Nothobranchius furzeri: one gene and its partner. The protein of the gene in region 1 purifies or fractionates together with the protein of each later gene. This does not show direct contact. Links are inferred from orthologs where the notes say so. Each region holds a gene or a part of one and is shown in the gene's direction. Other genes may lie near its edges. The genes, in order: faslg and snx33.

The links.
Region 2: the proteins of faslg (region 1) and snx33 purify together in Homo sapiens (co-immunoprecipitation; 3 studies listed by BioGRID and IntAct, counting the BioPlex papers as one, with this or other methods). This does not show direct contact. The link is inferred for Nothobranchius furzeri from reciprocal best matches to the Homo sapiens genes FASLG and SNX33.

Annotation. Positions count from the first base shown.
Region 1 is NC_091748.1:47,050,188-47,066,379, forward strand, and holds faslg (tumor necrosis factor ligand superfamily member 6), read left to right. Parts: upstream 1-5,908; 5' UTR 5,909-6,008; coding exon 6,009-6,293; intron 6,294-6,787; coding exon 6,788-6,836; intron 6,837-6,960; coding exon 6,961-7,023; intron 7,024-7,096; coding exon 7,097-7,512; 3' UTR 7,513-8,008; downstream 8,009-16,192. Other genes in the region: uncharacterized protein si:dkey-86e18.1, read left to right, coding at 1,330-1,868. UniProt on the Homo sapiens protein: Cytokine that binds to TNFRSF6/FAS, a receptor that transduces the apoptotic signal into cells. Involved in cytotoxic T-cell-mediated apoptosis, natural killer cell-mediated apoptosis and in T-cell development.
Region 2 is NC_091754.1:43,250,723-43,266,914, reverse strand, and holds the start of snx33 (sorting nexin-33), read left to right. Parts: upstream 1-6,440; 5' UTR 6,441-6,625; coding exon 6,626-8,054; intron 8,055-16,192. UniProt on the Homo sapiens protein: Plays a role in the reorganization of the cytoskeleton, endocytosis and cellular vesicle trafficking via its interactions with membranes, WASL, DNM1 and DNM2. Acts both during interphase and at the end of mitotic cell divisions.

The DNA of each region.
Region 1 (16,192 bases):
TGGAATTTGTATTAAAGGGCTATTAAAGCATTAGCTTTGACTGCCTTAATACAAACACATCAGCATAAACAAATACTAGTTTAATCTAATCCTAAATAACATTAAATTAATACACTAGTTTGATGATTGTGTGTAGAACCACCATTTTCCTGTCTGCTTCACTAACCGGACATCTCTGGAGGGCTGTCAGCCATAGTATTTCCTCTTTTTGCTCTGACATATTCTGATGTTTGTCAACTCAACACCAGATTCCTAAAATCCAAACCAGGTCCAAATAACCGACCCGGTCTTCTTTACAAGCACCTCCTTCTCCACCAGCTCCACGCTTGAAGCAGCCACTGCTGTGTTTTCCTCCAAAGTAGAGTAGTGTCTGAAGTAGTGTCAGTGTGCCCCAAAGCAGCTGTGGCTACATCGTAGCTCATCACCATCAGTGTGTGTGAATGGGTGACTGATGCACTGTAGTGTAAAGCACTTTGGAGTCCTCTGACTCAGAAAGGTGCTATACAAGTGCGGTTTAGATGCAGCTTGACAACGTTCGTCAGCATGCACAATCAAAGTTGGCTGGTACTCTAAATCTCTACCGTTGGCTAGATTTATGTCATTTCTATCGTGTTCAATTCATGTCAGCCATTACTAGTCTACAGATGGTGGTTAATGAGTGTTGCTGCCCCGACTAGCCTGATGCTAAACTGTTCCTTAATCTTGATGTCTGGCCAGTTAGACTCCTGGACCTTCTTCCAGATGGTAGCAGGATAAACTGTCTGCATGACAGATGGCTGTGGTCCTTGATTATGCTGACAGCCTTACGTCAACACCGTGGAAGATAGATGTCTGATGACTAGGAGTCTTTTCCCAGTGATGCGCTTGCTGCCTTCACTACTTTCTGTATTGATCTCGGTTTGCAGAGCAACTCCCGTAGCAGACAGGAATGCCACCCATCGGCAGACCCTTGACCACTGCTTTCTAAAAGTTCAGGATCATGTTGGCATTAATATTTAGTGTCCTACACCTTTTGCATGGCTGTTTTACTCAAGTTAAATGAATAAAGTTGGGTTATCATGTTTCGTAACAGTTTCACGATCATTTGCAGGATTTTAACTTGTTGCAACTAAATGCAAACTTTGTTACAAGTGGGCTTTAAATCGACGAGAGCTTCTAAACTTTCCAAAACAATAAACCTTTACTGAAAAATCACTGTGAATAGTTTGTAGGAACTTCTAAAATGTTACTTAGAAATGTGTTTTCTAAGGTTTTAAATTGATTTGACCTGAATATGCTGAGTCTTGTTTATTCATTCATTCATGTAAGAACTCTCTTTTTCACTCGCAGGTAAATCCCCGCGGCTTGTCGAGCCGTGTGATGCTGGTAGTTTGTGGGATAAGGATGACCGAAGTTTGGCAGGATATTTGAAACCCTCAACCACAGATGGAGCCTGCAGCTCTTCAGACACCAGATTTCAAACGGTTGTTTCCCTTTGCTCCATCCCAAACCCCTCAGAACTAGTCAGTTCAGTCCAGAACGAGCCTCTGGCCTTCGACCGTACACGACTGGCGGTGGCTGCCGCTGCGTTCAGAGCACCATCTGTTCAGAGTTCACATAAAACACAAAAGCTGGCTCGGGTGCTGCGGTCTGGGCTTCCAAACCTTAATAACTCTTCATTACAACAAAATGTTTTATTACAAATCAGAAACACAGAGAACAGCGAAGAGGGCACAAGGAGTTCTGTTGATGGACGACAAAAGAACGAGTCAAACTGTGAAACGTCCAGGAATGAAACAACGGAGAAGGCCGGTCATGTTTTGGGACTTGATTGTTACTCATCTTCTGATGAGGAGCTCGTAACATCTTGTCCTGATATGAAGCAATGATGTAAAGTCTGGGACTGAATTACACGCAACTCTTTCCTGGTCCTGTGTGTTTATTTAACAAATGCAATGTCTCAATAATGTTATTTATTAAAATTACACTAATAGTAAAAGTAATATTTTGTTTAGCATTACTTGTGTAACCAGGTGACTTGGTGGTTGATTAGAGGGCCCCTAGCCTTGCCCCTGGTTAAACTTGGTTCTATATAAACATGGTCAGTAAATATTTTAGTGTAATTCTTTAGTAAAATTGCTACAAGTATGAAACTTTTTCACAGTTTAATAGAAAAGTTTTGCTGAAATCGACTTTTTTTTATAGCAAAATGATATTAAATTAGTAAAATTTCATCATAGAGATAAAACCATTCGTCCTACATTCATGCAGAATTATTTTATACTGAAATGAAGTTCATCAAATTTGCTTTCTCAGGAATTTAGTTTGTTTCCACACCATAAAGAGCCCCAGCAGGTAGAGAATCACCGTTTGATTATTAGTCATGACCACAACAACCTCTATTGTTCAATGAAAGAAATGATGGTGAGAAAGACTGAATGACAGAAAGAAGTACTTGCTGATTCAGCGATTCATTTCAGATACCTGATCTGGTTGAAGCAACTGGAGCAGCAGCTGTGAGCGGTCTGGTTAGACCCCAAAACCCCACCCTCCCACCTAACCCACTCACTGCTGCTGCTAATGCCGTTGCAGCGAGGGCCTCTTTCAGCGTGACTTCTGGGAAACAGACACATCAGCTTGTAGGGTGCCGGCAGTTTGTGAAGTTTATGGTAAAGTTTGACGTAATTGCCCTTTAAGTTGGGAGCTTTCTGCACACTGCTAGGTGGGTTTCCCTTTGTGTTAGCATCAACCTGGAGAAATGAAACCAAGACACTCGTGACACCCAAATTCCATTGGAAACAGGAGAGTCCCCATACAGACTCACTAATGCTTGCACAATGAGCACGTTGGTAATATCTATTAGTATTTCTACTAATATTTATGAGAATGACTTGACTTCAGATGTTGTGAAACTTATTCAATATGAATTTTCAACACAACAGAGTGGGACAGCACCGTAGCTGCTTCACCCCAGTCAAGAATTTGTTTTTGTGTGAATTTAGCGAGATGCCCTTTATCCAAGATCGGTCACTAATTTTAGTCTGATTATCTTCGTTAGATAATAGGCTGAAGCTGAAGGAAAGCCTCCCACCCACAAAGCTGCAGCTCAGATATTCTGTATCCATGGCAACAGAAGTCTAAAAGACCACAGTAGTGTGTGTGTTCAGCTTTCCGGTAAGCTTATCACTGAGGTATTGGTTAGAGTTCATTCTCACCTCTGTTGAAGGACGGCTCTGACTCTCGCTGCAAACTTTTCGAATGCAGCCAGCACGCAAGCCAGGGTGCAGACATGTTGCTTTTCATGTGGCAGCGGCGTCTCCCCACCAACAATTCTCTGTTCTATTGAAACTGCTGCATCACTGTTTACTAACCAAAAATAATCTGGTTTCATGATAAGTTATATGTTTGATTGGTTGGAATCTGGTTCATTTGAGGGTTTTCGTGGTTTATTCTTGAAATGAGAGAATTAAAAAAAAACTGAAAAGCTTGAAAGGCTGCCCTTTGTCACCGATTCTGATCATAACCTTTATGGACAGGATTTCTAGGTGCAGCCAAGGTGTGGACGGCATCCATTTTGGTGGCCTGATGATCAGGTCTCTGCATTTTGCAGATGATGTGGTCCTGTTGGCTTCATCAGAACGTGATCTTCAGCTTTCACTGGAGCTGTTCGCAGCCGAGTGTGAAGCAGCTGGGATGATAAACAGCTCCTCTAAATCTGAGACCACGGTCTTGAGTTGGGGTAGAATGCCTTCTCCAGGTCAGGGATGAGGTCCAGCCCCAAGTGGAGGAGATTCAGTATCTCGGGGTCTTGTTCACGAGTGAAGGAAAACTGGAGCGTGAGATCGATAGGCGGATTGGTGCTGCATCTGCAGTGATGCGGGCATTGTACCGGTCTGGCGTGGTGACGAGAGAGCTGAGTCGCAAGGCGAAGCTCTCCATTTACCGGTCGGTCTACGTTCCTACTAGTGTCAAAAAAATCGATACCTAGATATAAATCGATACTAAAAGTGGTATCTAAATTAGATATTCCATCCCTGTGGTATCGATATTATGGACTATTATACACAGCCTTCTTCAAGTACACCGACACGCACGACAGCCAGATGCCGTAAAGCAGCCTCCGCCTCCCAGACAAACAGAAGAAGACGCCGCATGGCTACGTTGCAATTTCCCACGTGAGTTGTCTCCGATCCAAGTTTTGTCTGCCAAATAAATAAACAAAAACATAAACAGCGAATTTGGGAGGCACTTCACAGCCCAACTTAATTAGCATACCAAGTCTGACACGTAGTTGTATATTCACGCTTATGTGCTTAATGGAAACTCCCGTTTATTGCAACCCGGACTTAATTTCTAGCATGCAGTACGTTTGTTTACTCACGCTGACAACTTTGGTGCTACTTGGATTCCCCGGGGTATTTAGATCCATCGGCGAATCGCCATCAGCGTATATCCATGTAACGGGTGCAGACGGGCACCCATGTGCAGCCTCGAAATAAGACATTATCTGCACCAAAACATCTTCATGTCGAAAGGTTTTGTTATGAATCATTATCATGAGTCCCCTGTTCGTTTGGAGCGGGTGTCGGATTTTTAGGCGTAAACAGACTAGCCGCGGCTAATCTAGCCGGCGCTTTTAATGACGTCACTGCCGTGCGCCAGTCTGTTTTTATTAAGATTAGATGTACCTTTGTCCTACTGTGGAGAAATTCGTTTTCTCCCTTTACTGACCAACAGAGTTGTTCAAAAGTACAGAACAAAATATATGGCAATACATCTTATGACAAAAATGCACCTTAAACAGAGTTTAAGCAGCAAAACATCACTGCAAATAGTGTATATATAGTGAGACAATTCATGATTTAAAGTGTTAACTTTCGCCAGTTTTTGTACGCACGTTTTAAAAAATGCTGATACTTGAAAGGTTGAAGCACTTTACACACTTAATTCTTAACATTTAATTTTTGCAATATAAATGGAGGAATGTTATTTTTTGAATAAACTTGTTCAATAAATTGGTGTTTTTAAATAGTATCGAAATCGAGTTTTTTGTCAAGTATCGAATCGAATTTGAAATTTTAGTATCGTGACAACCCTAGTTCCTACCCTCACCTATGGTCATGAGCTTTGGGTAGTGACCGAAAGAACGAGATCGCGGATACAAGCGGCCGAAATGAGTTTTCCCCGAAGAGTGGCTGGGCTCTCCCTTAGCGACAGGGTGAGAAGCTTGGTCGTCCAGGAGGGGCTCGGAGTAGACCCGCTGCTCCTCCACATTAAGAGTTGAGGTGGCTCGGGCATCTGGTCAGGATGCCTCCTGGACGCCTCCCTGGTGAGGTTTTCTGGGCACGTCCAACCGGGAGGAGACCTAAAGGTAGACCCAGGACACGGTGGAGGGACTACGTCTCTCACCTGGCTAGGGAACGCCTTGGGATTCCCCCGGAGGAGCTGGCCCAAGTGGCTGGGGAGAGGGAAGTCTGGGCCTCTTGCCTTAGGCTACTGCCCCCGCGACCCGACTCCGGATAAGCGGAAGAAAATGGATGGATGGAAAAGGTTGAAAATTTGAAAAGGAAAGAAAATGAAATATTCAGAAACAAAAGTATATTTCAGTATTTCAGTAGTAGTACCTGCTCAAGGGATGCTGCTCAGATTTTCTTTTCGTGGAACCTGAAGGTTTTTTTAAGTGACGAGAAAGTGGTTAATGAGGTCCAGGTAATCTAAAACCTCAAACTTCCTTCAGGTTCAGACTTGGCTCTTTTGCATCTTGCATAAAACAAAGTTCAAGTGGGGCTGAAAAACGTGCATAAAGCATGAGATGCATGAATTATAAACACATTAAATACTGCAAAGCCAACCAGAGCAGCTCAGCAGATGATTGTTTTACCAGTTTGCGCACGTTTAGGAAAGATGTTGTCTTCTAGATGTGGGAGGAGAACAGTGGGTGGTAATGTCTCAGTGGTGCTACAACATAAGTCCACACCTCTTCTACACAGAGCAAATGCTCACCCCGCTTGTGTCACAGGACCTGCACCATGAGCTGTGACCAGAGGTACCCGCTCCCTCAGGTGTTTCTGGTGGATGAAGGTGGAGGTTCGCACCATCCATCGCAGCCTCCCAACCTCATACCCTGCTGGTCATTCCCACCAGCAGTGGAGAGGATGAGGAGCAGGGAGAAGAGCCGGGGCTGCATGGGGATCAGCCCTGGACTGGCCATGGTCGTGCTGATGCTGTTCCTGCTTGCGTTTGCAGCTCTGGGGTTTGAAGGCTGGCAGATTCTGCAGATACAAAAAAAGATCAAAGACGTGCCCTGGAAAAAGGTAAGAGGTCAATGAAAGTCTAGAAATGAGAGAATTGAAAAGCTAAAGTGCAGGCCTCTGTAAAGAAAAAAGTATGCTGGAAAATCTAATATCTTATTTTTTGCACAGATAAAATATTCATTATCACCCTTTTCTTGTGTGGGGTAGAGCAGCAAAAGCAAGAAGGGATTTTTGCATAGAAAGGTGGTGACATGGAGGTGTAAGGTGGGAGAGTGGAACTATGGTTGGAAAGCTTGGGCATACCTGTAACGTTTAATAAGTCACTCGGTTTAGAACAAAATAACTACTTGAGAGTGGCTATGGCTGGGTTTCGCTCAGGCATTTAAAAATGCAAACCTCTGTCTTCACCGCTCCATTTGTGGTCGCCAGTCCATTCAGACAGGATATCCTCTGTTTCACTTGTGCTGTGAGAATGCTTTTAGATGCTTTTGGAACAAGCTGAAGCTCACAAGTGTGTGATGTGGTATTGAGATTTGTCTTTCATTTCACTTTAGGTTGAACCTGAACCTGCCACCGACTTTCATGCACCTTTGAAACAAATTGGTAGGTTCACACCATGAAACACTGCGTGCTGTGCACGAATCATTCAAAAAACATAGAAAAAGTTCAAATGTTGAATAAAGAATTTAAAAAGGAGCAGTTGTGACTAATCTGATGGTGATTTTAGGTCTCCATAAGCCTGAACTAAGCGGAGAAGACACAACGGACAGACCTGCAGCACATGTGATTGGTAAATATTCACTTTGAGTTCTCCTGATATTCTCTGATTGATCTTTACTGATGTCATGTTTTTCCTGCTGCAGGGCGCATCGGACCGATACCGGGAAAGACGCTGCGCTGGGAGTCGAGGACGGGCCAGGCGTTCGTCTCGGGGGGAGTGTCCTACAAGGTCGAAGATGGAGCCCTGCAGGTCAACGAGACTGGACTCTACCATATCTACTCCAGAGTGGAGCTGATCTTTAAGGGCTGCACCTCCACCTCCTCGTTTGATCACTCCATATTTGTAAGGAGGGCAGGACACCACTCACCTTTGACTCTGATGGAGGCCCACAGGGCGGGGTTCTGCCCTCAGACGGCGGGCCGGTCCTGGACAACAGAGAGCTACCTGGGCGCTACTCTGCACCTGAAGATTCATGATAAAGTTTATGTGAATGTTTCGCGCCCTGAATATCTCAGCCACACTCATTATGCCAACTTCTTTGGTCTTCATAAGATCTGAACAGTTTTGAGTGTTTGTGAGGCGGACTGACCTGAGCCAGGTGTAAAACGTACCAGAAACTTCACCCAAATGATGAACTGAATGTGTTTACACACACACACACACACACAGACACACACACACCTTTTTATATATGTGTATTATTATTATTATTATTATCAATAACTCATTTGGATATCTCTTCATTGTCTTAACTTTGTTGGCTCTGCGATGTATAAACCCTGAGGACATCTTGAGCATTTCCTTGATTGACATCCTAAATAATGAGAATTGTGCACATTGAAAAAGTAATTAAACTGTATTTTCACTCACGTGTAGACACCAGTATTGTTCTTTTTCTTGATGACTCAGGAGTCGGTTAACACTAAGGTGCTGCTAAAGTTGTAGCATTGTTTTAAATATTTATTTGTTGAGGGACTGACACCGTGTCTGAATATGTGCCTCTAAACCAGAAGCTGTGCTCTAATATGATTGTTAATAAAGCAAATAAAGTTTATGCGTGTTGCAACAAGAGATTTCTATGTGCAATCAGAATGTTTTAGATGCTTGAATAGATTGTGTTATGTGAACACCCACATTTAGATTTAGGTATGAGTGCTAGAAACTATCTAGGCAGAGACTGACCCAAACTAGCTCCTGAAGGTGATCTTCAAGTCCACTTGGGTGCAGAGGAGGGCTGCACAAACCTCAGACACAACCCTCAAGAGTTTATATTCTTGTGACAATTCATGAACCTGTAAAGCAACCAGAGTTGGATTAAAAAAAAAGAATGCAAGCTTTGGTTTCAGTTTAACGCTCGTTGCTGCATTCGTTTTTAGTGCACCACAAAGTCAGCAGAGTGAGAAGATGTTCATGATGGGCATGCAGAGGGGACGAAACAACTCTGATGTGCATTTCCTTCCTGTGTGAACGTTTTGAGGGTCTTGCATGCCTGCAGGTGTTTTTTTGTGAAAGAGTTCATGTTTCTTTTAATCCATGTGGTTAGCGTCTGTGCTTCTTAAGAAGTTTTGGTTTCATCACCTGTTGAACAATAAGGAATAACCGGTCCTTTAAAATGTCAAAATAATATCAGAATATTTCAGTTTGGACTTTCTTTCTTTGGTAAATAACTTACAACTTGTGGGAATTTGACAAGAAACACCGGTTATTCTGGTGCAACGAGGAGTTTTCATTACTCCTCAAAAACAAACTCTTAGAAATCTGTTCTGTGTGAACTTGCATAAACCTCATTAGGTTTTTACCTCCTGAGTTGCTGGTTATAAAAGTTAAAACCACACCTGAGAATGTTCAGCTTTCTACTCAGACAAGTCAACATGGACCTCTCTGTTTATCAAACCCACTTCTGAAAAAAGTCCGCGTCAACAGCTGTAAAAACACGTCTTCATTTCACTTTTGACATTTGACACTTTCCCACTGATCTTTTTTTTTTTTTGTCTTTTTCAAAAAGGCTAAATGATTATTCCAAATCTCACCAAACATTTATCACATTTGAGGCATGTTTGTGTGTAACATTTAAATACTCTGATTGCCAAACAGATAGATTAAATCAAGAGCAGAATACAGGCTCTCACAGGAAATTATATTAGCTGCACACATATAAACCACAGTATGGGATTAATTTTGTAGATGAGAAGCAAATGCATCTGCTAAAATGTGAAACTATTTGTTTTTCTTCTCCAAATCTGGAGTGGGCTGCATGGTGGTAGAGTTGGTAGAACTGTTGCTTTGCAGCAAGAAGGTCTCAGGTTTGAATTCTAGCTGCAGCATTCTGCGTGGAGTTAGCATGTTCTCATGCATGCATGACTTTGTGAAAGGCTCACCGGTTTCTTCCCACTGACCAGAAACATTAGGTTAACTGGCAACCCTAAATTGCACTACTTAAGTTAGAGTCGTAAAAATGGGGTGCTACGCTCTTATTTTTTCCATCTTTGCTGCCATCAAGCAGCTAGTTTCGCATGCCCACTTGGAAACAGCAGTCCATGCTTTTATTACTTCACTCTTGGACTACTGCAACTCCCTTTGTTCAGGAGTTAGCCAGGCTGAACTTGCCTACAGACAGCTAATAGGTCCTGCCTGGAGCTGTTGCAATCAACATGGCTCTACACTTTCTCCTGCAGCATCTGGACTCCCCGGGTACCTGCGCCAGGATCCTGTTTGCGGACTTCAGCTCTGCCTTCAACACAATCCTCCCAGATCTCCTCCCTGTCAAACTGTCCCTGATGAACGTGCCTGACCCAATCTGAATGTGGATCTCTGACTTCCTGATGGACAGGAAGCAGCAAGTGAGGCTGGGAAAAAGGCCTCGGGCCTGCGAACAATCAGCACCGATTCCCCTCAGGACTGTGTTCTTTCCCCTCTGCTCTTCTCCCTGTGCACCAACGGCTACACCTCCAACCATGAGTCTGTCAAGCTTACCAAGTTTGCAGAATACACCACCGTCATCAGACTCATCTCTGATGGGGATGAGTCTGTCTACAGAACGGCTGGTGTCCTGGTGCAGACACAACAACCTGGTGCTAAACACCCAGAAGACAGTGGAGGTTGTTATGAACTTTAGGAAACACATAGCCCCACTCCCTCTCATAACCCTGTCTGACACTCCCATTATGATGGTGGACTCATGTCGCTTCCTGGGCACCACCATCAACCAGGACCTCAAGTGGGAGCCCACCATCACCTCCATCATAAAAAAGGCCCAGCAGAGGATGTACTTCCTGAGGCAGCTGAAAAAAATCCTACTTATCACTACAGTTGATGAGGCCGCGCTACACCACAATCATCTAAGTCTATCCTCACATCTTCAATCACCGTGTGGTACGCCGGAGCCACCATCAGGGACTTGAAAAGACAGCAGAGTGTTGTGCTCTGCTGAGAAGGTCAATGGCTGAAAACTCCCCTCCATACAGGACCTGTACACCTCCAGAACATTGAGGCGTGTTGGTCGGATCACAGCTGACACGTCTCACCCTGGACACAGTCTCTTTGACTCGCTCCCATCTGGCAGGAAGCTCCAATCCGTTCGGACCAGAACCTCTCGCCACAAAAACAGTTTCTTCCTGTCTGCGGTCAGACTCATGAACGACAATCATAGAACTGCCCACTCCAACTGCATTGTTTCAGTCACATGACCCTGTGTTGTGTTTACACCTGAACTGACCCGCTCTGACCGGTACCTACACTGACTTGTACAGCTGCTTCTCTAATTATAGATTCCTTATCTTACTTTCATTTCGTTGTGTTTTTTCTCAGTTCTAATTTTGCTTATCATTTATTTTTTTCTTGCACCAAGTATCGCAGCAATTTTCTAATGTTGTGATTCTCACACACATGGCAATAAAACCCTTCTGATTCTGCCTCATGTGGGGGAGTTTAAGCATCTCGAGGCCTTGAGGGAAATGTGAGCACGAGATCAACAGGCGGAGTGGTGCTGTGGGTGTTGTTCTGGTCTGTTGTGGTGAAGAGAGAGTTGAGCCGGAAGGTGAAGCTCTTGATTTACCAGTCGATCTACTTTGATACCCTCACCTATGGTTGTGACCTTTGGATCATGACCATCGACAAATATACTGGACAAATAATGTCCATAGGTTCAAATTACAAGTTTTTGATTTTAAATGGGAGGTTCCCAACACCGCTGTTTTGACCGTGTCACGTGTCTCGTTACGCCCAGACGATCAAAAAATGGGAAAAGAGCTGGAACTGAGGGTGGGGCTGTTACGGTTGGAGCAGGGTTGCTACACATTAACCTATGTAGCTACTAGCTAACTTAGCTAAGCTAAGAAGGGGCTCGGGGAGAGCCCACCCGCACGGCCGACTGCGAGGCTGTATTCATGCTGGTCACCTGTGGAGCTCTAATATGGACCGGGACTGTTAAACTACAAGCAGAACCTCAGACTGCTACAACTGTAGCCAGGCGCTGTGGCCTTTTACAGAACCAGAATCAACTTTACTGTCAATGCCCCAACGTCCTTAAGTATAGAAAATTGTCTCTGCAGTACACCCTAACCAAGGTTATACACACAAACATGTAGAGCAAAATCAGATACAGGCAGATAACGAGAGCAGCCATCAAGGCCCTCTGGGAACGTCAACTCGGTTATCGGCGCTAAGTTGATGCAGAGCCTGGAGCCACGTTGCAGTACACCAGAACCGTCGACAACGGCAGATTAGCCTGATAGCCTTCTTCATTAACATCCAAATACGAACACAAACACACAGAGGACACAACTAACGTTCAGAGTCGAAACATCTATTAAAGTGAGGCTGAGGCCATTTCCTGGAGCTAGCTCTGAAGTCACATGGCTCTGATGCTCATTAATTATTCCGAATTTTAAGCATTAAAATTCACTTAAACAGAAAATTTATACAAAAAAAATTCACTCCATCAAAGTTGCCATCTATGTAATGTAAACTAGATCTGTTAAACCTAAAATGGTGTTTTGAACCAGACTGTAAACATGTTTATTTTCTGCTGTGGAATTGGCATTCTTAGCATCGGATTCAATAAGGATTTGCTCACTTCTGGTGCCAGAACCTAGCAGATGAGGGTGGCTTCAGGTCTGAGAGCCTAGGGTTTACCCTTGGTCGTGACTGAAAGAACGAGATCATGAATACAAGCGGCCAAAATGAATTTTCTCTGCAGGGTGGCTGGGCTCGCCCTTAGATAGGGTGAAAAGCTCGGTCATCCAGAAGGGGCCTGGAGTAGATTCACTGCTCCTCCACATTGAGAGGAGCCAGTTGAGGTGGCTTGGGCCTCTAGTTAGGATGCCTCATGAACGCCTCCCTGGTGAGGTTTTCTGAACACGTCCAACAAGAAAACCTAAAGGAAGACCCAGGATACGGTGGAGGGACTTTGCCTCTCGGGTAGCCAGTTAACACTTTGGGATTTTCCTGGACACGCTGGTCCAAGTGGCTGGGGAGAGGGAAGTCTGGGCCTCTCTGTTTAGGCTGTTGCCCCTGCTACCCAATCGAATGAATGGATAGATGAAAATGTAAGTATTCAAGTATTAATCTGGCTGTTACAGTTGGACTTATAATTGCAGTCAGAATTTTACATCCTGGGTACAAATGTCATCAGTTAGGTGCTTTCAAAGAACTGGATGCATAACTTGATGAGCGAAAGACTTCTTAACAATTCTTGTTGGAATCATGATTGACTTTAATCATTAGAATGTTCAAGAAAATGCTGGTGAAGGTTCTCAGTCGTCCAGCTCATAGTAATCCCGAGGGGTTCAAATGAAGGCAACTGGACTTCTTTGGTTCCTTGAAGACTTTTCACTTCTAATGTGATTAGCTTTGTCAATTCTGATGGAATGTGGGAGAATCAAGTTTATAAACTGTAGCTGTCTGTAGCCTCACTAGCTACTTATGAATACCCCTTGTCCCTACACACAGCTTGTGTTCTGCATGTAGGAAGGGAAGGCGCTGAGTCAGGCAAGACAATAATCAAGCTTTTTGATCTCTATGACACAAAAGTAAATGTTTTAATGACCAACGGTGGCGCTTTCACACCTACAAACGTGATACTAACTGTTAAACATAGTGGTGGAAGCATTATGCTGTAGTAATGGTGCATTATACAAAGTGAATGAAATAAGTGAACTACATCTATAGGTTTTAACTTCACAGAAAAGCTAAATCAGTGTTGCCCCATCCCCTTGACCTCCCATGCTTTAGTTCAGTGGTCCTCAACAGGCGGCTCGCAGGCCATGTGCGGCCTCTTTGTGGCCCCGAACCCCGTGCGCACACACAGGCAACCAAAAAGCTAACCACTAACAGTGTTGGAAGTAACGCAGTACAAAAGTAATTAATTACTGTAATGCATTGCTTTTTGCTGTAATGTGGTAATGTAAGGCATTACAGGGAAAGAAAATGGTAATATTTACTCGGTACAATTGTCAGTAACGCGGTAATTACAATGCATTTTTAAACCCAGAATCAAGATGCGTTTATTAAAAATTCAAATTGCGGGATACCCGAAAAAAGTTCCAGTATCTGCATATATTACGTCATTTATGGACTCAGCTTTGCGGGCAGAGAGGACGCCGCGGTAACGGCTCAAATACTCCAGCTGCATCCTACGCGCGGCCGCTGTAACATTCACAAAATCGCTCCACTAAAACAAAATAATTCACCTGCGATCGTTCATATCAGTGCATGTTCTCTGGTATTCTGTACTTTTCTGACGTGCTTTGCCTCAGCTGAGTTAATCTGGGCTCCGGTGATTTCAACTCATTGCTGCTGGAGCGCCGCACATGTGAAGATCCCTTTGGATGATTAGTTAGAAAGTAGGAAATCTAGGAAACAGGTTTTCTGGAAGACGGAGAAAACATGCAGCATGCAGGAAGGTTAGAGAGAGAAAGGGCAGGAAATTATTCAAATAAAATCAAGAAAACAAAACAAAGTGCTTGAAAAGAAAAAATGTAGGTAGATTTATCCCCAATACTCATTTTTACCATTGAAAAGCAATAATATAAGCATTTAATATTTATACATGTAATAGAATAGATCACACCAGAAGTCAGTCCCACATCCAGGGCCGCATCAAGGCATTTGGGGACCAAGGCAAATAGGCTTGGAGCCCCCACCACCTCACTCGCCGCTCAGTTAATCTAAGATGATAACGTGCTGAGAGTACAGTTTGTGGTTGCATTTATTACATAAACAATCCTTCTAAAGAACTGTTTTTAACAGCAATCCTAGCTCAGACACCACATGACACCAGATGTGTCATGAGTTCACCAGGCATCAGATTACCAAACTCATACTGAAGTTGTCTTGTTGAACGTAACTTAGAGTAATGCAAAAGTAGTGTAATGCCTTACATTTTAAAACCAGTAATATTGTAATGTAATGAATTACTTTAAAATGAGGGTAACAAGTAATAAATAATGCATTACAGTTTTGAAGTAACTTGCCCAACACTGACCACTAGCCGCTAGCTGAATGGTTCAAAAGTTTTGTGGGTGAGCGTTAGGGAAAGACTGGGACAATAGTTCATTCCAGGTGTGTGTGTGTGTGTGTGTGTGTGTGTGTGTGTGTGTGTGTGTGTGTGTGTGTGTGTGTGTGTGTGTGTGTGTGTGTGAGAGAGAGAGAGAGAAAGAGAGACAGAGAGAGAGAGAGAGAGAGAGAGAGAGAGAGAGAGAGAGAGAGAGAGAGAGAGAGACAGAGAGAGAGAGAGAGAGAGAGAGAGAGAGAGAGAGAGAGAGAGAGACAGAGAGAGAGAGAGAGAGAGAGAGAGAGAGAGAGAGAGAGAGAGAGACAGAGAGAGAGAGAGAGAGAGAGAGCTCCTGATACACAGTTTACCACGGCTGGCATGTTGCAAAAGCTGCTTTATTGGGTTATGTTAGGAAATGCTTGTACGTCACGCAGGTGGAAGCAGGATTTCATCAAATCCAATTACAAAAATAGCTTATATTTGGGGAAAAAAATTACATTTCAGTAGTACCAATATTTTATCATATACTGTTACTATTGTTGCTCTGGATGGTGTACAAAAACATAAAACTATTACATTTGTTATTTGTTGATTTTGCTTCAAAGCTGAGTAATTACCAAAAAACGTACAACTTTCAACTAATCACCAATGTTATCGTGAAAACTGGTCCAACATTCAGCCAGGAAAAGGAAATTACTCATCAGTTCTCATCAGTCTGAATAACATGTCATAGGAAACCTTTCAGATTCAGTGCTAGATTGGTCTACGAGCAGTTACTCAACAGAGAAAATAAATGGCTGAGTAACATCTTCTGTGGTGATCACCAGAGTGATATGTGTGTTGTGTCATCACCCTAATGGTTCATTTGAGGGTTTCTGATGGAAACTCTTGGGGCAGCACTTCGAGTAAAACTTCATTTCTCAACAATACAACAGAGCTCAGTTGTCTTAGTTTTGGGGTTAGATGTTATCATGATTTTCTGTTGCCAGTATGCCACTTTTTGTGGCATAGTTATTCATTCTAGAGCATCATTCTTGCCATAAATCCTACATTTCTTCACATGCCCCTAGTTTTCCATTTCAACACCGTATTCATATTCTCAGTTAGCTCATCCATTTCACTCACCTCTCCCAGTGCTGTGAAAATGCAGTTGTCCCCTAAACAGCCTTAGTGGCAAAACTTAAATCATTACCCAGCTGTATACCCAGGGGGGCTGCCAGAGATTTTGGGCCTCATGAAAAAATATCAAGTTGGGCCCCCTGGGGGCTCGTCAGGAAACTGCTTTGCCTCTGAATCATTTGGCATGTCCTGATCTTCATGTCTCTTGGCTAAATTTCTTACAATACTCTCCATTTCATTATCATTTAAATTTGGTGGCCACAAACCTGGGTCATTGGACTCAAACACTGCTTTGGTGGAATCCCTATCACATTTATTCAGCTGACTTTGGGTCTCTCCATCTTCTGAGCTGTCACACTTTCTCCCTTCTTCCTTCACTTCCACTCTTTGTCCTGACCAAACCTGACATTGGGAGGGTCCAGGCTCTGTACATAATGAAATTGATATATGTGTTACAATATAGGCTATCATTTGTGACAAAATCTTTATCCAAGTTACAACAGTCTTTAAAATTAATGCACAACAGGGAAAATGCAGCACAGACTCCTGCAGGATATTAGCTGTAGTTCTCCATCATCAATACTAGATTTCATATTTTCTTGTGTTCAGTGTTATATTAAGTTTATT
Region 2 (16,192 bases), on another chromosome or scaffold:
GTCACTTGTACGTGACTTCAGGCACATCCCTGAATACACCTTTTTCCCTCGAGGCTTGATCGCAGTACACCCTAGTGGCCAGTGGTGATCTCTGCAGTGTTAGAGGTATGGTGGTGTGAATTAAGTTTTAGTTAAGGTTGGTTTAGGAATAGATCAGCATTGGTTAGGGTTAGGGTATGGGTTTAGAGGCACCTGGCTCCAGCAAAATGGCAGCTTGAGCTCACCTCCAGTCGCCATTGCCTTAACAGAAGTGCCCGAAAGTCATGTCACCTAAAGTTACGTGCATGCCTTAAGTTCTGCTTGTCACCTGAGGTAAAAAGTTGTTTTAATATGATAGATCAAGGATAACATTAGTAATAGTGAATGTGGTGTTGTATTTTTCTGAAGTTGGTCTCGAACGGGCAGTGTAGTGTTCACATATAAATCCGAGGGACTTCTCAGGAATGTGAAAATCCCCGAGCCTGAGCGCAGGATTTAATAAATAAATAATAAATGACCCGCACTTGTTTAGCACCTCTCAGAGTAAGGACTCCAAAGCGCTTTACACTACAGTGTATAATTCATCCATTCACACACACATTCACACACTGATAGTGATGAGCTACGATATAGCCACAGCTGCCCTGGGGCTCACTGACAGAGACGAGTCTGCTGAGCACAGGCGCCACCGGTCCCTCCGACTACCACCCGCAGGCAAGGTAGGTTAGGTGTCTTGCCAAAGGACACAACAGCAGAATTCTCTGTCTGGAGCCGGGAACGAACCTGCAACCTTCAGATTACTGTAATAAGCTTGGGAAAGACCACGGTGTCCTCCATAATGAGATAAACGAAGGTGGGCATATGCCGTGTTGCTTTTGGAGACTCTGAACCACATTATTTTATTAATTTGATGTGTGTGTCGTCTGTCTGTGAAGGTTCTCAGTCATCCAGGTCATTGTAGTCTAAGGAGCTTTGAAAGAAAAGCGTCTGGACTTCTTTTAGTTGCTTGAAGACATTTCACCTCTCATCCGAGAGGCTTCTTCAGTTGTTAGGTCAAATGGTGGAGAGTCCCAGATTCAAACCCAGTGGGAGGGAACAAAAGACACCCTGATGATCTTCTACATAAACACATGAGCCAAGGTGTGAGGGTGGGAGTGGGTCCTATTCAGCCAGAGTTTCGGGTGAGCTCATTGTGAAGCCTGGCCCCACCCTATCATGTGAATTCCTGAGGTCAGATGGCCCAGGATATGCGTGGGCGTTGAGGCATCTGGGAAGGGATCTAAGCTGTGTGTGTCGTCATAATGTTTTGCCACACTCACACTGCTTTCTCCCCTGAGATTGCTGGGGTGAAGCTCCGATGCAGAGGACACACACACACACACACACACACACACACACACACACACACACACACACACACACACACACACACACACACACACACACACACACACACACACACACACACACACACACACAGAGAGAGCTCACTCTCTTCCTCAGTTCCTACTGGTCAGCAGCGCCATGCTACAGACAGAGAAGTTTACTAAACAGCATCCAGCATGAACAGCCCACCATTCAGTGAGAGAAAGAAGTACCCAATGTCACTTTTGAAACGTGGAAGGAGCTAAGGTGATTGGTTTATGGCTTTGACCTCTGTTACTGTTTCTTTTCTAGCCGCGGGCAATATTTAATTACTCTTATTGATTAAATCAAATCAAACTTTATTTATATAGCACTTAATCATACAATGCATGTAAATCAAAGTGCTTAACAAGTTTAAAAGGCCCCGCATACCCATCCCCAGAATTTAAAAACAGTCTGAGAATAAAAACCCCTTCACAACACTCATCTTCCGGCACACACACACACACACACACACACACACACACACACACACACACACACACCATGGAAAATAAGGAATGCTTTGATGACCCTCCCTGTTGGATGATGTAATTTAAAAGCTCTTTATCTATCAAAGGAGTGTTTTTTTAACAGTCTTTGATGGCTATCAGTTCTAATGACTCCTAGCTATCCAGGCAATCCATCCTTGTTATCTTACTTAACACCCTCCAATCTTGATTTGCTACTGGTTCTGGTGACTCCTGGACATCTCTACTCCCCAAACCAGACCAACCACAACCACTTATTACATCAATGTTTCAAAGGGTTTTTGCTGCATAAATTTGAAACTAAAGGAAACAAACATCATTTGCAAAAATGATTACGCGTTTGGTCCAGTTTGAATACAGGAAATACATTACAGTAACTTCAGAAGGTCATTAGAGACCCTAAGAAGAGCTGTTTCAGTAGAATGAGCTCTACGAAAACCTGACTGGAAGCTATCATAGATGTTATGTTCATCAAGAGCAGCTGTGAGTTGTTTAGCCACAACCTTTTCCAAGATCTTGGAGATAAACAGAAGTTTAGAGATGGGTCTGAAGCTGCTATGGAGAGAGGTGTCAAGACTCGGTTTTTAAGAAGCGGGTGGATTACAGCATTCTTAAAGTAAGCAGGGACTTGACCAGAAACCAGAGAAGCATTAACTGTAGAGAGCACGCTTGGACCGATGGACTGAAAAGCACTTTTAAACAAAGATGAGGGTAAGATGTCGAGGGGGCATGCAGAGGTCTTCATAGAGTTAACTAGTTTGGTTAACTCAGGCAAAGAAACAGGAGCAAAGCTATCTAGGTTGATGGGCCTGGTTGGAGTCGGGAGAGGCAGCGATAAGGCTGAAGGAGAGATGTTAGAGCTAACCTTATTGACTTTGTCCACAAAGAAAGACGGAAAAATCTCACAGTCTGTAACAGAGTGGATGGAGGCTGTAGGAGAGACAGAAGAGACAATGCTGCTGATGGTGTTAAACAGCACCTTGGGGTTCCCTTTGCTCTGGGACACCAGGTTGGAGAAATAGGAAACCCTGGCGTCTCTGACTTCAGAGTTAAAGGATGTCAGAAGATCCTTAAGGTGCAGCAGATGGACGTGGAGATGGGTTTTCTTCCACAAGTGCTCGATTTTTCTGCATTGGCGTTGTAGGCTGCGAAGGCTGTCAGTAAACCAGGGAGTAGGGTTCACTGCAGGAACTGATCTGGTTCTGACAGGACAGATGTTGTCCAGAATGGAGAGGCAGTGCTCGTTAAACTGAGAAGTTAAGGAATCTGGGTCGTTATCAGAAAAACAGGGTGGATCAAAAGCAGCAGAAAAATTGCTATCTGTGCTCTCATTAAGAAAACGAGAACTAACCATACGGCGAGCAGGAGGTGGGGACGCAGAAACTGACAAGTTAAAGAAAATGCAATGGTGATCTGAAATATAAATGTCCTCAGGGCAAACACTGTGAGCATTTAGACTCAGGGTAAAAACAAGGTCTAGCGTGTGCCCCCTGGTGTGTGAGGGGCCAGAAACATGCTGGGTAAAGCTGAAGGAGTCCATAATGCTGGAGAAATTCATGGCAAAGTGGTCCGAGGGATCATCAACGTGGATGTTAAAATCACCAACAATCACCAGTCTGGACAGCTTCACAGTGGAGGATAGAAAGTCACTAAACTCCTGAAGGAAAGAACTGTTTGGACCAGGTGGACGATAGACCACAGCATAGTAGAACGGGTTCTTATGCCCGACTTTAATCAGCTGCAGTTCAAAGGAAGCAAAGTGACCAGAGGTTGTAGAGCTACATGGAAGATGGTCTCTGAAAACAACAGCTAGGCCTCCACCACGACCAGAACCCCGGGGCTGGCTAAGAAAAGAATATTCACTCGGGCAGAGTTCAATCAGACCAGAATAATCAGATGTTTGCTGCCAAACTTCAGTCAGAAACAGAAAATCCAGGTTTTTAGAGAGAATTAGATCATTGAGCAGGAAGGTCTTATTGTTAACAGAGCGGGTGTTCAATAGGGCCATGCTGAGTGAGGTGGAGGAATCAGAAACTACAGAAACAGCTGGAGTTAGTGGACGTAAATTAGCAGGGTTAGATCCACGGTGTTTATAAAAACCACTTATGGACGGAACAGGAGGAGAAACCACTGAGGAATGAGGATAACCAACCTTAAAAAACTTGGACGGAGAAACCGCGCCACATTGCGGCCTGGCGTGAATGCAGAAGTGGCGCTCAAGTCGCCAAACAAAGGACAAGAAGCTAGAAGATCACCCCGATGTTTACTAGATCACCCACACTTTAACAGAAGTCTTATTCTCACCTGGATTCCTGCTCGTTTACCTCTTTTCCTCCGACGTTTTCCCGGGACCAAATAAACATAGCAGGAGGCGCGCTGGTTGGGATCGTCGTTTGGCTCCGGACCAGCACGCCACTCAGATAAACAAACAGGGAGGTACGTCCTCGGTGCATCTTGGGCGATCGTGAATGAACGGAAGGTCAAAAGAGTCTGGCAATCAGAGGAGATGGTAGCAGGGACACTACTGAAGAAGATCGCAGGCAGGAGCAAAGTGGAAAAGAGGAGGTTAGTGGAGAAAAGTTTGAAAAAGTGACCTGTGACCGCGGCTAAGCCAAGCACAGGCCCCATCTTGTTACCGACCGCAAGTGTTCGTGTGTATGTGTGTATATGTGTCTGTGTATATGTGTGTGCAATTTAACATTCCCCTCACCCCCATCCTCACCTTAACCAGCTTGCGCATGCAAAGCTCTGATTGTTGACGTGCTCCAGACATCTGCGTCCTGAGCACAGCCACAGTAACATTATCAAATCAGGTGTTGCCACCTCAAAAACTAATTTAACACGCGATCGTTCATGTCGGCTCATTTCCTTTTATGTTTTCTGTATTTTATTCTTTTATTTGTGCCTGATGCTTTTCGCTGCTGTGGATCAGGGCGCATCACCTGTTTTGTCCTCCAATAACTTCACCTCACTGATGTGGTCGGCGAGCAGCGCGCACTCCGCTGTTTTTGCGGTCGGTAGATCTTTTAGAACTGCAGTTCAAAGGTAACTCATAAGGTGAATGCAGAAGTGGTGTTCAAGTCGCCAAACAAAGGACAAGAAGCTAGGTAGCAGTTTTTCTTTAGGACTGAGAGGAGATGCAGGAAGATAATAAACAGGCAGGACAGAAAAATAGTCAAATAAAAACAAGTTAGTTTTTGTACCTGGTGGTTGCAACAACAGACACCATTGAAGGTAATCAGAAGTGAGGAACAGAAAATGAAATAATTATTTTAATGTTTAGAGCAGCGGGAACTCTGAGAGGCTGCAGGCACACCAGTGAGTTTGCGGCTGCTGCGCAGGGGGAGGGGGGAGAGAACTGAAACAAGATGCAGTAACAACCGTTGTTAAAAGAGATGTTTAACTTTGAAAATGTGGGCGCATTTTTTAATTGTCAAAAACTCCAACCAACCGACCCCCCCCCCCCCCCGCGCCCAGCTTCAGGTGTATGACGTCATCAACGACTAGTCAAAGTCGACTCGATTTTCATTACTTGACTGTCAACTTTAATAAAAATTAATTCATGCAGCCCCTAGTGTGTGTGTGTGTGCAAGTGTATGTGTGTGTGTGTGTGCGTGTGTGCGTGTGTGTGTGTATGTATGTGTGTGTGTATGTGTGTGAGTGTGTGTGTGTATATGTGTGTGTATGTGCGTGTGTGTGTGTGTGTGTGTGAGTGTGTGTACATGTGTGTGAGTGTGCGTGTGTGTGTATGTGTGTATGTATATGTATGCGTGTGTGTGTGTACATGTGTGTTTGTATGTGTGTATATGTGTGTGTGTATGTGTGTATATGTGTGTGTGTATATGTGTGTGTGTATGTGCGTGTGTGTATGTGTGTGTGTGTATGTGTGTGTGTATATGTGTGTGTGTGTATGTGTGTGTATATGTGTGTGTGAGTGTGCGTGTGTATGTGTGTATGTATATGTATGCGTGTGTGTCTGTGTGTGTGTGTGTGTGTGTGTGTGTGTGTGTGTGTGTGTGTGTGTGTGTGTGTGTGTGTGTGCGTTAGACCCCGCTCGTCCTGCTCATAGGTCCTGCTGGCGGCGCCATTGTTCTGGTTTTGCTTCTTTTATGGAACATAAAGAAGAACTTCCCTTAAACGTCCGACCATCACGTCATGGAAAGACTTACTTTGTTGCGGCTCGTTGCGGGTTCTTTACCAGGAAAAGTGGCCGGTGATGAGAGCTGATTCCGGGGAAACATCGGAGTGTTTGTTTTCCACCGAGGATCGAGTGAAGACGCGCAGGAACCTTTTAACAAGGAAAACGCTGCAAGTTTGGGAACGAGGCTCGGATCGCCGATGCCATGACGCACCCGTCTGTTTTTCTCCTCTCCGGGTGTCGGTCCTGGGAATGTGTTTATCACGGATTGGACTCGGGTTCCTCGATGGGAAGCGTCTGATTAGTGAACGTCAGTGACCACCAGCAAACGTTTGGAGGATTCAAACCTCTCGTGCAGTTTTGGGTTTGAACGTGTAGTATTTTAATGTGAAAGTGGAAACATGGTTCCTTTGTGATAAAGAGCAAATATTTGTAGTTAGATCAACAGTTGGTGGCCTTGAAGCGCTGTTTCTCACTAGTGGTAAACTTCAACTGGATGTCTGGAACTCCTGTCCTGATAGCAGTCACATTTAAAAGTGCTGTAGGGCTGCCCCTAACCCGGGCAGCATGTGCATGTAGAAGTTAGTGGTGTAGAGCCTGTTGGAGTGTAAACATGTCTTTAAAGGCTGTGGCCGTTTACACCTTTCTAAGTGAAAACAAAGAAGAGATTAGCATCCAGGAGAATGAGGAGGTGGTGATCTTTGATGAGAACACGGTGGATGGCTGGTTCCAGGGGGAGAACAGCCGAGGGGAGAGGGGGCTCTTCCCAGCATCTTATGTGAAAATTATTCGCACTCGTTCAAACTCCAACATGACTGATTGTTCCATAAGCCCAGCAGGCTCTTTAGGAAATGACTCCTCCGATCTACCATCCACGCCAAACACTTCTTTTAATTCTGGGAAGATTTATGACGAGGATGATTACGATGACTGGGACGACTGGGACGACAGGTCTACTGTCGTGGATGATGCTGAGAACTTCAGGGGTCCCGGGGCTAATGGACATGCCTACCAGGCCCAAATGTCCAACAGTCCCAATATGCACTACAGGAACAAGTCAGTATCTGGACCAGACAGCATCTCCAGCTCCAGGAAGGGCAGCATGGTGGGCAGGAACCTGAACAGGTTCTCCAGCTTTGTCCGCTCAGGTGTAGAGGCATTTGTGCTGGGGGATGTGCCCATGATGGCTAAAATTGCTGAGTCATATACCATTGAGATGGGCACACTGGGGCCTCAGTGGAAGGACAGCCCTCAGCCGTTCACTTGTTCCATTGAAGACCCAACCAAACAGACAAAGTTCAAGGGCATCAAGACCTACATATCATATCGAGTCACGCCAAGCCACACAGGGCACCCTGTCTACAGACGGTACAAACATTTCGACTGGCTTTACAACCGTTTACTCCACAAGTTCACTGTGATCTCTGTGCCTCACCTCCCCGAGAAGCAGGCCACGGGCCGGTTTGAGGAGGACTTCATTGAGAAGCGTAAGAGGCGCCTAGTATTGTGGATGAACCACATGACCAGCCACCCAGTCCTCTCCCAGTATGAAGGCTTTGAGCATTTTCTGATGTGCACTGAAGATAAGCAGTGGAAACTGGGTAAAAGGCGGGCAGAGAAGGATGAGATGGTGGGTGCCCACTTCATGCTGACCCTTCAAGTCCCCACTGAGCACCAGGACCTGCAGGATGTTGAGGAGAGGGTGGACAACTTTAAAAGTTTTGCCAGGAAAATGGACGACAGTGTGTTGCAGCTCACAAATGTCGCCTCAGAGCTAGTGCGTAAGCACTTGGGTGGATTCAGGAAGGAGTTCCAGCGCTTGGGAAATTCCTTCCAGTCTATTAGCCAGGCGTTCACTCTGGACCCACCCTACAGGTCAGACACCCTCAACAACGCCATCTCCCATACTGGACGCACGTACGAAAACATCGGAGAGATGTTTGCAGAGCAACCAAAGTACGACCTCTTCCATATGCTGGATAAGCTGTCACTCTACCAAGGCCTGCTCGCAAACTTTCCTGACATCATTCATCTACAGAAAGGTAATGCTACAGTGTTGTCATGCATGTATGGCTTTTTTACAAAAACCTAATAAGGTGATTACTTTATTTATATATTATTTAGGTGAGTCTATCACAAGTCCTTACGTGGTTTTGACTTCTGTAGCTTGTCTGAAGAATATTTTTCCTGCATGCTGTGCTGTGTGTGTGGGTACATCCTCTCAGTAGGTCAAGACTCTGACACATGATGAGCTCTGTTGCATCAGTAGAAGATATGGTTTTGCTGGACAAGGAGGTTCTAGTTTAGTCTGACTTACATCATCTAACATAGATCATACTTTGTGGTTTGTGCTAGTGCCGCACAATAAATCGCAATATCACCACGCGCAATACGCATATTGCAACGAACAGAAAAAAGCGCAGTGAGTGGTCAGATCAAATGTTTACTACATATAATACTATTTTTTCAACCAAACAGAAGCATGAAGTATTTGATAAATCAAATAGAGCTCTTCACCCATTTGGCCAATTAGGTGGCTTCTCATACATTAGATGCCCACCCCCTATAGGCTGACAGCACTTGGATGGCTAGCAAACATTGCCCTGCTCTTTATGCTGATTCTGCGGTTCCCAGGATCCATTGATTGCCCTTTCCTGTTCATTTTCCTTTTCCTTTCCTCACAACTTTTGATAAAATTTTTTGCTTTTCCAATTATTTAAAGGGCAAGTCACCCCTAAATCTACTTTTTTGTTTATAAACGATATAAATGAGTGTCTAATCGTGCTGTAGACATGTGTAGTCAATCTTTTGTACATTTTTGCTGTGTTTGTCTTCTATTTCCAATTTTGGTTCTTATTTAAACACAGATAAAGTTTTTCTTTACCTTGCTGACGGTTTCGTTTGTGGCTGCAAACATCTTTAGGGCTGTCGCTGAACCGTCAGCAAGGTAAAGAAAAACCTTATCTGTGTTTAAAAAAGAACCAAAAATGGAAAGTGAAGGCAATAATTTGGCACTTTAGTGCATCTTAGTTAAAATTTAAACAATCTGCCTAAAACTGTCAGTGTTGCGCCGTCGTCAGGTAAAAACTCTGCACTGCATTTGAATTTAAATCTGCTATTGCTATTGGCTAAGAGGTACACTGTGACGTTAGCTGGTACATTATGATGTCACAGTGTCGTTGTGAGCCTCTGTGTTTGTTAGTGGCTCCGCCCTCTCGGTCTTGTAGTGGGAGTGGAGTAAGACTCTGGTAGGGGTGACTTGCTCTTTAAGATATTTTTAAGTCATATTTTTTTATTTATTTTTCTTTGCTCTTGAGTTAGGTATTTGTTTATTTATTGCAAGTCTTATTGTCATCGCAATATAAATCACTGTTATTGCACATCGCAGGTTTTCTTAATGTCGTGCAGCCCTAGCCTGGCAAGCCAGACTAAATAAATGTATTATTTAGTCTGGCCATGCTCCATTGACGGCTCTCGGTTGTGGGGCGGGATCTACCGTTGTCTTTCAAATGATCTCCGCATTCCACTGGACAATGAATGTGACATACTCTTGTTTCACTCTGTTGCATCATCCCACCCACCAGGCATATAGAGTGCCCTGATTGGCCCACAAAGTGGATAAAGTTCTGTGATTTGTTCACTAAGCAGATAGAGCACTATGATTGGCCCACCATTATGGACCAATCGCAGCTCTTTATGTGTTTGAAATAGGGCTGGGGGGTAAACGATTATTTTTAAAACGATTATTCTGACGATTATTTTATCGAATAGTCGACTATTCTAATGACTATTTAGAAAATTAATCTAATGATTATTTTTCTATTGCACAATTAACAAAAACCAGAAAATCTCAAATAAATTCCTCAAAAAAATTGATAAATTGTTACTGTAAGAGAATAAACACTACAGGCCTTCCATTTTTTTATAACACTGCGTTTATTGTGTTGCGGTTGGTTATGTTCTGGTGACATGTAGAACTTGGGAGTGCAGGCTGCTGCCTGAGAGGTGGTAGAAGATGGAGTGTCTCCATGCTGCTTTGTTTTGGTCACTTATGTGCGTGAGGCGAGTGGTCTTACGGGTTAAACCAAACTCAGGTGATATTTTACACTAAACCGAAAACCCACAACACTCTAAATGTAATAAAAGGGAGATCTACACCACAAAAAAGATGAACTCTAAACCAAAACGTAACAGCTTATCCCAACGCAAGAAGCTGTTAGCGAAGATGCTAACAGTAGCTTTACCAACGTTAAGTTCAAGTTACCAAGTTTAAATAAACCAAAAACACCCAGCAGCAAACAGACCAGCACGGAGGAGAGACTGCTACCACCAAAACAGCTCTCCTACTGTCTGAAAGAAGCTCCTTAATGAAGGGAGAAACGCTCCCGGTGATGTTCTACATCTGCGATAGACACGAAGCAGCGCATCTGACCCCGGAAGTTGTTGTCCGTTGCTGGGAGACGAAGGCGGGCAAAACAGGAAAATAATCTAGTAGTGGACGGACGTTGTTCCGGGCCTTCGGTATTTGGCGGAGATGTTAGTGAAGGCGGAGAAGAGGGCGAACTAGAGGAAAAACAGGCAGATTCCTCCTCTATTTACTAACTCCTGGGGATGCAACAAGTGGGCGCGGTGCGTCGACTTCCGGATCTGACGTCGACAAATTTTTAGAATCGAGCCATCGACTTCGTCGAGGCTTCGCTACAGCCCTAGTTTGAAACTCCTCTAGAGAGCTGTGATTGGCTAGCCAGAGTCCTGGTAGGAGCTGCTGAGGTTCCAATGGAGCATGCCTAGACCAAACTTTGCAAAGCAAGAATTTGGTCTAGTTCACTAGGCTAGTGCAGCCCTAGTTTGCACCTCACAGTTGTATGCGTTCATCCCTGTCATGCAGCACAAACATCACCTACACACACAAAAGCTGTAAAATCAGAAACAACAGTCTTTGTGAAGCTCGTGCCTGGGTAAAGTTATAAATAATTATTGTATTACTCACTTTAGGTTGCTTCTTGAGTGGCTCCAGTGCTGGTGAAGTAGATGAGTGTTCCACTGGCTGTTCTGAGCTCAGCAGAAGCTCTTGTAGATGTAGTGCTCTCCACGGCGTATGGTGATGAGCAGCATGCGGTCAAACAGGAAGAGCGTTCTCTCGTTTTTGGCCCGGTGGACTTTGAAAGTTCCTTCTAGAACCAGTTCTCCAGTGTGTTGCTGCCATCTTAAAATCATTCCTGTGATTCAGGCAACACTATTTTTTAAAAAATCATTACACTGCATCAGTTTTGGGTTGCATAGGGATGATTCTAGTTCGGTTAGTAAATAACCACTGAATTCCATGTGAATAACTGGAAACATAGAGGATGGGTGTTTAACACATAACATCGATAAACAAGTTAAGGCCTTAAATGAACTGATATTATTTAAATGCATGTAAACTGCCAAAAAATAAATAAATGGGAGTAAGGATAAAAGGTCTGCTGATCCCATTTGATGTGTTCCATGGATTTCACATATGATGTCAATGAATTTTAAAAACACATTTTGATGTCAAGAAAGTGCTTATTTTCAAACTGTGAGAAAAGTTATTTTCGGTGTGAAAAAACCATCAGATGACAAAGGTTTGTCTCACCAGTTTGACACAAAGAAAAGGAGATTAGTTTAGAAAGCTTCAAATACTTCTTCCATTCGAATTAATTTAATTAGTAAAAATGTGGACAGCATAAAATAAGTAAATGTACAATTCAGATAATTTCTTTACAGTAAGCATAATTAGCTCCTAGCTTAAGCCTGATTTATGCTTCTCCGTCTGCGTCAGTGCGGAGACACGCAACGCCATTATCCGTCCTTGCGTAGGGCTCCGGCAGGAACGCAAGTACATATGGAGTCGAGCCCACTTTTTTAAACATCCGTCGAACGAGACGGATTACGCAAGCTTGTGATTGGACAGGACGCCGCTGTTGTTTACAACGCCGCCATTGCAAAGAGAGCCGAGGATAACTAGCGGCAGACACAGAGAAGCTTGAAGAATACCTCGCGAAAAAACTCTAAAAATATGAATGTTTAATTCTCCCGTGACTGGAGGAGTGAAAAGATGCACAGCAAGCATTTTATTTGTGGACAGAAATGACAGAAAACGTGGGTTTAGAGGTGGGGAGCGCATGAAGCGGTGGGAGAATGAGAGACAAATATGTCCGTGTTAAAAGTCTCTTATAAACACAAAAAACACAATATAAACACACGATCTTGGACCGATACATGACAGGATACCACAGAACAGCGCTACGCCCTCTGTGGTCCTGCCGGGCAATTGCTTTGCAACACTCTCCAGGAGACGGAGAAGTAATAGAGCAAAACGCTTCCCTCAATCCGTGCGTGTCTGTCCCTTGTGGAGCTGACGGAGAAGCATAAACCAGGCTTTAGCCTACACGTGGAGATTAAACTGCGTCAATTCCTTTTCAACACAAGAAAATGTTCGTTTTGTTGTCAAATGTAACTCAAGGAGAAATCTGTGTACCCCCTGTAATGCTCTCACGGACCACTAGGGGTATGCATACCCCTGTTGGGAACCACTGCCCTAAACCATAATGGTGAACATTTTTTGTTTTCAGGTCATTTTAGAATTGTTTTAAGACCCCCACTCTTCAGAGAATATTCAGTGAGGAGGGAAACTCACAGTTACCTACGTAAATACTCATTCTCATAATATAAGTCACCTGTGTACGGAGGTCAAGGGTCACTGAGCTTACCAAACCAGTTTTGAGTTCCAGTAATTAGTTCTAAAGGTTTTGGAGTCAATAAAATGACAACAGTGTCCTAATTTATGCACCTGCCTAATTTACTTAAAACAATTATTGCACACTTTCTGCAAATCATATAAACTTAGTTTCACTTTTCACATATCGCTGTGTGTCAGAAGTTGAGCTACTTTTCTTTATACAATTTGGTCACTAAGCATCTCAGCTATTCAGATTATGTATTATTTAACAGCATGTTAGAGACAAGGGACAACAAAAAGTCTTCCTCAGATTAGCGGGGATAAATGAATGACCAAAAGTCTAACAAACGCCTAATCTTTATTTAACCTTTATTTATCCAGATGAGTCGGTTGAGAACGGATTCTCATTTACAACGACGATCTGGCCCAGAGGCAGCAGCAACAGACACACAGTTAGCTTTACATCAAAGGAAAATGGGTAAGATAAAAAAAATACTAGATAAAAATCTGATAAAACAATTAGACATAAAGACAATGGACTGTTCTCATTTACAATATGTACAATCAATCAAAACAGACTTAAAACAGTCTTTAAGTAGTCAGAAGTGCGTTGATCAGGAACTATTGATCACAGTGAATTATTGAAGGTAGATAATGGAATGTAGGTAGATTAGAATAGAATTGAATGGAATTGCCCTTTTTGTCGTTGTACAAGGTACAGCAAAATTGGAGTGCCTCTCCCTTTGGTGCAAATTGTAAAAGAAAACAGGAAAATAATACAGAATGAAATAACAGTAATATTTACAAATATATACACAATGTAGCAGCATTTTTGATGTAGCAGCATTATTTGGGTTCTGTGCAGGCGACTATAGTAAGCAGGTAGTTTTAGCTTTAGTGATTTTTGCAGCTCATTCCTGTCGTTTGGAAGCAGCAAACTGGAATGAGGAGCGGCCAAAGGAGGTGTGAGCTTTGGGAATAACCATAGAGATTAGGTTACTGGAATAGGGCTGCAACAACGAATCGATAAATTCGATGAAAATCGATTACTAAAAGCGTTGGCAACGAATTGCGTCATCGATTCGTTGTGTCGCACAACTCTTCCAAAAGCGCCCCCCCCTTCCTGCCCGCCGTTGCGCGCAGACCAGAGCAAGTCAGATCAGCGCGAGGGAGAGCCGCAGATCAGCGTGAGGGAGAGCCGGTACCGGCAGATCAGCGCGAGTGAGAGCCGGCAGATCAGCGCGAGGGAGAGCCGCAGATCAGCGTGAGGGAGAGCCGGTACCGGCAGATCAGCGCGAGTGAGAGCCGGCAGATCAGCGCGAGGGAGAGCCGCAGATCAGCGTGAGGGAGAGCCGGTACCGGCAGATCAGCGCGAGGGAGAGCCGACAGACTTGCGCTGCTGCGAACCGGTTCCGCATTGTCGCGCAGCGATCCAGGCAGCTGCTTCCAGCACACGGTCCATTCTCAAAGTGGCGCAACCAAAAAACTATAATTAGCACACGATCGTTCATGTCCGCACATATTCTCTATTTTCTGTCTTATTTGTGCCTGAAGCTCGTTACTGCGGAGCTCATCACCTCTGCTGTGGTGATGTCACCTCACGCAGCATCGAAAACGCGCTCTGCGCTTTTCGGTCAGGAGATCCCTTTGATCTGCTCAAAAGTAACTGATGAGGTGAAAAGGTAAGAATCCAGGCAACAGATTTTCTGGAGAATTAAGAGGAGATGCAGGAAGATGAGAGACAGACAGGACAGGAAAATAGTTAAATAAAAACAAGAAAACAAAACAAAGTGTTGAAAAGTCAAATGTAGATAGATTTATCTCCACTACACGTTTTTACCAGTAAAAAACAATAAGTTATACACATGTTATATTTATACATCTGATACAATTCAGATCACCTTCAAAACTCAGTCACACACCCAGGGCCGTTTCAAGACATTTTGGGGGCCAAGGCAAAATGCCCCCCCCCCCCCCCCCCCTAACTGGGCTCCCCAGAAGCCTCTGTGTAATTCATGCCCTCTCCAGGAGTGTTAGTTATATGGTGTTTATAAAAGCCCCTCAGACATTACTGACATGTTCTAATATTATCAGATGAAAAACTAAATTATCAGACATGCTGTCTCACCTGCTGCTTTTCTAAACCTGCTAAAAGTAACAAAACCATTTGAAAGCCACTATTTGTGGATTCTCTGAAAGTTTCCATGGAGTGTGTGACAACTTATTTTTTCATTGATCCTATCGTCTAATCTCACAGCTGAAACAAGCATCCTTAATCATCTGTGCACAGGAAGCTTACCGATGCTGTAGTAAAACAAAAGGTATAATAATTTATTATTAATAAAACCTTGTTGCAGCACTAAAGCAGAAAAATTAGATTTTGCATTAAATATGCAAAATATTTACATATGAATTGTTTTAGAGCCCTTTAATTGGCAGAATCTGATATTAATTTAGTTCTTACAAAAAATGGGTCCCAACATGGTTTGTGTGGCGTTGCCATAGTGTGACTTCATAGGCACAGATCCCCTGTCCTCTTGTTTGGAAATGGAAATATGGTCACCCTACATTAAACAAACTGTCCACCCGGGCTTTTGCGCTGCACAGAGACGCTTCGCTGCCTATGACTGAACGTCAGTTGAGAGTCAGTCTCATGCAGACTGACCAATGAAGAGAGGGCCTCAAGTTAAGACCCTCTCCTCATTGGTCAGTCCACACGAGGTGGGTCAAAGGTTACTCTGGGCGGGTTACGTGTTGTCAGGCATTCAAGTATTGAGTATATTTACTGCATATCACAGTAAAATATTCTGTATGTGACCACATTATGGTGATCCTTGGGTCGTGATGATGGAGCCCTTGAATATTGTTGCCCAGGGTACAACAAAGTGTTAATCTGGCCCTGGTTCCGCCGTCACATTCCCGCAGAAACTGGTTGATCACACCGGGGCCAGACTACTAGCATGTGGTTTTACAACCACAATGTCCTCAGAAGCAAAAACGCTTTTAAAAGGGAGGGAGGTGTCCTAACTGTTGCTGCAGGCGTGTTGTGTGAGAGTGCACTTATATACTGGTTAATATATTTTTGGGTTCAGTTGCTTTCATGTGGCCTAATGTGAGTCTATTTGGGATCATTGGAATGATCAGCAGCATTTCTTGATGTGACTTTATGGCAGTTGCCCAGGGCATCATCGCAAGGAGGATGGCATTCATTTACTTTTGTTTTATTTGGTATTTTTTCAGTCAGTTTTGGAAATAGTGATCAATTTTGATTAATTCACAGCCTATGTTTAATTACATTTAAAATAAATGTTAACAGATGAGATCAAACAAAACAGATGAGAATTGCCCTTAAGCTGTTTAACTTGGACCAAGCATTTTAGGTCACAGATAGATGTAGCTTAGGGTCTCTGTCTATACACCTTATAAGACAATTTAGGTGATGGCATGTTGTTTTTCTGCTATTGAACTGTTTTCTAA